2 linked regions of the Nothobranchius furzeri genome follow. The protein of the gene in region 2 binds, or shares a complex with, the protein of the main gene of each other region. Links are inferred from orthologs where the notes say so. Each region holds a gene or a part of one and is shown on either strand. Other genes may lie near its edges.

Region 1 (3,225 bases), on a different chromosome or scaffold from region 2:
CGAACAACAAAAATACAAAAGATGGATCAAGGAAGCAATCGAGATAAGGAGACGTGGATGTGGGACCATGAACAGGGACGACGGAGTTTACACGCTGGACCACGCATGGGACTGCATCGTCGGAGAGGGGAGAGCAGGCAGTAGAGGGCGACAAAGTCCTCTGCTGCCCGCAGATAAACGGAGAAGGAAGTGACGCGCCACCATCAGCGTCAGCCTGAAGAAGCCGGCAGCCGTCGGCGAAACTGGCTACAAACAGGTCAACAAAACTGTTTCTGTGTTTAAAAAAGAACGAAAGCATGGATTTAGAAAGACACAGCAAGAACACACCTAAGATGCAAGTCTAAAGTTTAAGTTAACAAACTGGAGTTCTAAGCAAATGGTAAATACCTGAATTTTATATAGTTCCTTTCAGAGTCCTATCATCCACTCATTGACACACACATTCACACCCTGGTGTTGATGAGCTACATAGTAGCCACAGCTGTCCTGGGGCGCACTGACAGAAGCAAGGCTGCTGAGCACTGGTGCCACCGGTCCCTCCGACCATGTGGGTTACGTGTCTTGCCCGAGAAAATATGACTGCTTTGCTAGAAGGAGGATTCAGTAAAACAAGAATAAAGCTCAAAAAGACTTGATCGGAAAAAAAGAGGATGTAAATGAATTATTCATCCTCACCTCAGGCTATCAAAATGAATGTTTAAATAAAATGTTGTATTTGTTCTTAAGGTACATCTCAGAGACAAAACACAAGTCTAAAGTCTAAAAGATCTGTGAAAAAGTCAACATCATTCAGTTACAAAAAGCTTGATGTGTTTTACAGACGTTGGATTAATAAATACAAAGCACTGCACAAAAATAGCAGCACTTGTCAGCAAAGAATCACTGGGAGCATCACCTCTCCATGAGCCCAGGGTGCATGCATCACAGGTCAACAGATTAAGAATCGTTATTAATGCACTGTGCAGAAGTGGGTTCGTATTGGAATGCACCCCCAAATCCCCCCTTAGCGTTTCCACGATCATTTTGGGAATAATAAATCAGAAATTACATACTGGAACATCTAATTCTTTAAAGATCAACAGCAGATTAAACAAATGATGTTTGAAGCTGGTCTCTGCCCTAAGCTACCCTCAACTTCTGACTTGTGCCTTCTTGGAATCTAAGAATCTAACTCATTCAGGTGTGGCACCTAACCCCCACCCCCACCCCCCCACCCCCACACACACACCTTCTGAAAGCACAGGGGTCGACGCTCGTGCACGCGCACGCACGCTCACTTATGACTCATCTCATCTGAACCAAAGCACTTTAGAGGCGTCCATTCACGTTCCACCCAGGCAGGAGCGCGCAGACTCAACGTCGGCTCAGAGACGCACTTGTAGTGACGGTGGCTATATAAGTGCCATTCAGCATCTCCTCTTTAAGTAACTAGATGCTTGTTTCTTCAAAGAAGTGAAAGAGGGCGGCACCTCACCGAATACCTGGCAACCTACACGGCTGTAGGCGACTGGACTACCTGCAGTGAAGGTATGGAAAGGGTTTTCCTATTCTAACCTCCACTTTCTGTTACAGGTTAATTCATAATGTTCATTTGATTTGATTACTCTAATTCTTCAGATAAATACATATGAATTTGTATTTCGGTTCTCAGTGAAAGTATTTCCCTCGTTTTGTTTGCTTTGTTTCTAAAAGTCATGTTTGGAACCAAATCCGAATTTGCGCGCAGATCGTTTTTTGCTCCAATCTCCCGTCCCCCATGTCATTAATAATAAAAATAGTCAGCGAATCACATCAATATTAGTTCAATGTTACCCTAAAATATAAGTTAAAATGACTGATTGTTCAAGTGTCTGTTTTGCGTGCGCAAAAGCATCTTTACGCAGCGCCATTTGCGCGCGTACATTAACACTAACCCAAAAATGTGTCCTCTTTGTCTTTTGTTCTCAGATTCCAGCTGATATCCTGACATGAAGCTCAATTTATTTGGTACCACCGTGATTCTGCTTGTTGCCTTCTTACCGCGCCACGAATGTCGGGCTATTGAGAGCCCAGGCGGCACGCTGCGCGTACCAGCTCCCCAAGCCCAAAACTCCCAACAGCAGCCTCAGCACCAGTCTGGTCCTATTCTGGAGCGCCTGGGAGAGGAGTATTTCATCCGACTGGGAAACGGGGACTCGAACTCATTTCCAGCCACGTCCTTGTATCCCGGCGGATCATCTTCCATCTTCAACAGGGCGCTGCAGCTCCAGCTGACGCGGCGCCTCTTGCAGGGGAAAGTTGGGAACATCCGGGCGCTGATAAGCGGCTTCGCAGGCCCCGGAGACGAGTCGATGGAGAGGGGAAGACGGTCCGAGGACCCACCGATCTCCCTGGACCTGACCTTCCACCTGCTCCGGGAGATGATGGAGATGTCCCGGGCGGAACAGCTGGCGCAGCAGGCGCAAAACAACAGAAGGATGATGGAGCTGTTCGGAAAATGAAGACCTCATTCCAACCCGCCAAAGATCTCAGTCTCCTCAGTTTTTATTTATTTTTTATTTATTTATTGTTCTTAGCACAACAACGTGCCATGTGCAACATAGTGCTGCTTTTTCACTTCATGATTTCTAGCTTTAACCTGAAATTATGGAGCATAAACGGACCTGAACGGGTCAAGTTTCACATCTTACAACACATCTTTGTTTGATTTCCATAAACAGGAAATGGTATTTTGTTTTAGACCATAAGAATCACTGTACTTATGACGTTTATGTTTGTTAATAAACTTATGTGCAAACAGAAATGTTCTGTTGTGCAAACATATATTTTTTAATAAAACAAATAAAATCAATGCTTAAACTTCTCTGTCAATATCCTTACATATAACTGAATAGAAACTAACAGAAATAAATGCTAATTTAATCAAAAAACAAGAAATCCTCTTTTTAAATCTGACACATTAAAATAGGTATTAAAAAAGCTAAAGTTTGCTGCATCCTGCCAAAACAGACACTCAATAATATATATTTGCTGCAAATGTAAAAAGTTACATTTTTGCACAGAAAAATATGCAACCCCTGCAGAACATTTGAACAAGCAAGCTTTAGGATCTCCTCTGTTCATGTGGGCTATCACAATAAGCGTGCAGCTCAATCCTCAAGAGGTAATTCTCATTATGCCAGCAAGAGACAGCTCCAAGATGCACCACTCGTGGCTAATGAGTGTGAAATATTCTGTGTGTGTTGA
Region 2 (3,654 bases):
TCTGTGAGGCGGCTGTGACTCGTAGTACCAATCCACCTCTCAATCTCCTGCTCCATCTTTCCACCATTCTTAAACAAGACCCTGATATACTGATTTACTTTTTGTCTGTGAAGCACTTTGTGACTTGTGTCTGTGAAAAGTGGTATATATATATAAACTTCTTCTTCTTCTCCTTTTTAAAACTTTCCTCTTTGGGCTGGAACTTGTCCCTGACCTGGAACAGGTGTTCTACCCCTTTTTGACTCAAGAGCATGGTCTCAGATTTAGGCCCTGTCCACACGTAGCCGGGGATCTGCCAAAACTTAGATATTTTTCTACGTTTTGGCCTGTCATCCACACGAAAACTGAGTTTTTTTTTTCACACGAAAACGGATCTTTTTAAAAACTCTGGCCAAAGTGAAGACCTGCGTTTTCTCCATTTTGGGTGTCTGCGTGTGGACAGACAAAACCGGAGCTTTAAGGTCCGCAACGTCACGTTCCGCGACAAAAAAATGCTGACATCACGTGTGCGACCTGTGTTTACACTAGCCGACAGCATGGATGCCCACAGAGCTGCGCTCGCTTTATCAATTGTCCAAGCGCTTTCTGCTTGTTTGTTTTTGCAAGCGGAATTACTGCTCCTTGTGGAAGACCACAGACGAAGGACGAGGTTAAGAACGGGGGAAGCACTGCCGCCTACAGGTCTGGCATGTCCTTAACAACGTATTTATCCGAGTACGTGTGAACAGAGTTTTTTTTTTAAACGAGGTGGTGTGGATGCAAGTTTTTGGAGGGGCGGATATTCGTTTTTAAAAAAACCCGGCTACGTATGGACTAGGCCTTAGAGGAGCTGGTTCTCAGCTCAGTGATATAATAAATGCTAATTTGTGACACATGTGTGAGTCTCCTCTGTACGATAAACATTATGTCTGTATATTGCAAGAATGTAGAGAACCTTCACAGAACTAAGTTGAAGACATTTATAAATGATGTAGGAGAACATTAGACATCGTGGTGGATCAGAGCAAAGGGCTAAAGGCCAGAGTGTCAGTTCTGTCAGAGCTCAGTGAAAGAGGACAACTTCACTGAAATCTGAAGACATTGATTCTCCGAGGACAGGAAGATGTTTGGAGGTGTAAATATTTCATGCACTTCGGAGGAGTTAATAATGAAGCAATTAAAAGAATTTCCTTCCCACACAGTTCCAGCTGGTCTGTTTCCAATGTGCTGTTCATTAGCATGAATGACTCATGCACCGATCTAGGCCTCCTCCTTCATTTGGTTGTTCTCATCTGCCAATTTCTTAAACAGCCTCCTTAACCACACCAGTACAACTACAAATCCCACAATCCTTTGGAACAGCTCTGTTCTCCTAATCTACCTCCCTTCTCTCTTCTCTTCCTCCCCTCATCCCTACCTGTTTCTTATCCTCTTTCTCTTCCTTTTCCCTTCTTACTTCTTTTCTCCTTATCCTTGTTTCTCAATCTCTTGTCCTTCCTAAATCTTCTTTTTCCTCTTTATTTGTCCTCTTCCTTTGTCCTCCTCCTCCTCCCACCTCAGGCGTGGTGCAAGCTGGTGACAGCAGCATATAATTACTTTCATGTCACCAACTTCTTCTGGATGTTCGGTGAGGGATGTTACCTTCACACTGCCGTTGTTCTCACCTACTCCACCGACAAGCTCAGGAAGTGGATGTTCATCTGCATTGGCTGGGGTTTGTTCACCTTTTCCACCTGCTCTGCCGTCTCCCTTTTCCCGCCAGTTCTGTCCTCTCACCCGTCCATCCATTCTGGTCATAGGTATTCCGTTTCCTGTCATTGTGGCCTGGGCTTTTGGGAAGCTGTACTATGACAATGAGAAGTGAGTCACACAAAAACACTGAATCTATGTCTCAGTGGTCCAAGTGGAGCACAGGTTAATGCAACACATCTGTACCTGCCAGGTGTCATGTGACACCAACCTGAACTCTGCAGGTTAAGGATGTCACTGAGTTCCTGATGAAGTATGTTGAACAGAAGACTTTGTTTCATTGCAGCGGACAAAAATCCAGAATTTCATCAGTTCACAATGTCACAATCTCAATATTTGTCTGATTGATGTCTAATGGTTTCTGTGTTTTAACTGGAAGATGCTGGTTTGGAAAGAAGGCAGGTGTTTATACAGATTACATCTACCAAGGTCCGATGATCCTGGTCCTGCTGGTAAGCCCACCCTAAAGGATTAAGATCTTTTTCTTTATGTCTGTGAGATTATGACTAATCTTTATGCTGCCTTCTTGGACAAATAGTTGAACAGATTAGTTTTGACTGAACCCAGATCAATTGACTTTTATATCGGGTAACAACACTGGTCTCCTCAAAGCACTACACAAAAATTAGTGAGACAGTTTCAGATCCAGCCCAGATTTAGATCCAGCTAGATTATAATCTAGATCATGTAAACTGGAATCAGCAAATTTTATCTAATCTTCACCAACACAGCCCTTCATCCTGAGCAGAACAGTGGAGGGAAACTCTTTGAACAGAGAGTGTTTAGTTTTAATATGGGAGGGTTGAACAGGACACACTTCAACATTGTCACAAGTAAACTTCAATACAGGCTATGATTCAGTAGCTTCAATAAACATAATTTGTATAGTTAAAACAGAGAAACAGGACTGGACCCCTGAAACCATCACTATTGATGATCATTCAAAAGCAGCTGCAAGTTCTGCATTATCTTTTATTATTATCTAGGCTCCTCCCACTCAGTGGACAGGACACGCCTCAATATATCCATTTTTGATTATGTGAAAAGCTGACAGGAGTCAGGTCTTGTTCTAGTTGGATTAAAGCTCATGGTCTTTAATCAAGTGTTTGACACTAAGCCGATACACCTGTGGCGAAGCGGACAAACAGCCCACATATTGAACAGATCATCCTAATAGCATGATCAAAGCTGAAGGCAGGTGACTGTGACACAGGTTAGCATTCTGTTATCATGCTAATTATTTAACAAGAGGAACGAAACGTCCTTCAGAAATAGAACTGTGATGAACCATCTTTAGTCTGAGGAAACGGGAAAGAGACACTGATGCAGAAATGTTGGCCCTGTCAAGTTTTCAATAAAAAATAGAGAAAACCAAATCAATGGAAGCCATCCATTCATTTTCGGCCGCTTATCCGAGGTCGGGTCACGAGTGCAGTAGGCTAAGCAGGGAGCCCCAGACTTCCCTCTCCCCATCTTTTGTACTTTCTTGCTGTGTTTGTCTTCAAATTCCATTTTTGTTTTTGTTTTTTTAAACACAGATAAGGTTTTTCTTTACCTTGCTGACATTTCGTTTGCGGTTGCAAACATCTTCAGAGCTGACACGGATGGTGGCGTCACTTCCTACTCAGTTTATCCGTGGGCAGCAGAGGATGTTGTCGCCTTCTGCTGCCTGCTCTCCCCTCTCCCCAGCCACTTGGCTGGATTCTCATCCCAGCTGCTTCACACTCGGCTGCGAACCGCTCCAATGAGAGCTGGAGATTACTGGCAGCAACAACAGTAAATAAAACATGGAGAGTAAAGGCAGCAAAATGAATAAATGTGGTCAGTCTGTCCTCCAGCAGCATAACTAAAGGGATTAGAATATAAATACAGACACCTTCTGAAAACTGATTAATGAGCTGCAGCACAGCCCGGACCAACATACAT

Evidence for each region. Proteins that work in one complex are often made in the same cells at the same time.
Region 1: the proteins of crhr1 (region 2) and crhb are in contact, whole or in part, in a cryo-EM structure (PDB 6P9X), measured with the Homo sapiens proteins. The link is inferred for Nothobranchius furzeri from reciprocal best matches to the Homo sapiens genes CRHR1 and CRH. Residues at the interface, in NP_004373.2 of Homo sapiens: Lys113, Tyr116, His117, Ala119, Val120, Asn123, Trp169, Val172, Gln173, Met176, Ser177, Pro178, His181, Thr192, Tyr195, Asn196, His199, Phe203, Phe260, Gly261, Lys262, Tyr267, Tyr272, Gln273, Met276, Ile277, Leu280, Tyr327, Phe330, Phe331; in NP_000747.1 of Homo sapiens: Glu156, Pro157, Pro158, Ile159, Ser160, Leu161, Asp162, Leu163, Thr164, Phe165, His166, Leu167, Leu168, Arg169, Glu170, Leu172, Met174, Arg176.

Annotation. Positions count from the first base shown.
Region 1 is NC_091747.1:51,584,407-51,587,631, reverse strand, and holds crhb (corticotropin releasing hormone b), read left to right. Parts: upstream 1-1,389; 5' UTR 1,390-1,527; intron 1,528-1,947; 5' UTR 1,948-1,967; coding exon 1,968-2,480; 3' UTR 2,481-2,615; downstream 2,616-3,225. UniProt on the Homo sapiens protein: Hormone regulating the release of corticotropin from pituitary gland. Induces NLRP6 in intestinal epithelial cells, hence may influence gut microbiota profile.
Region 2 is NC_091746.1:33,510,589-33,514,242, forward strand, and holds part of crhr1 (corticotropin-releasing factor receptor 1), read left to right. Parts: intron 1-1,539; coding exon 1,540-1,693; intron 1,694-1,778; coding exon 1,779-1,839; intron 1,840-2,107; coding exon 2,108-2,180; intron 2,181-3,654.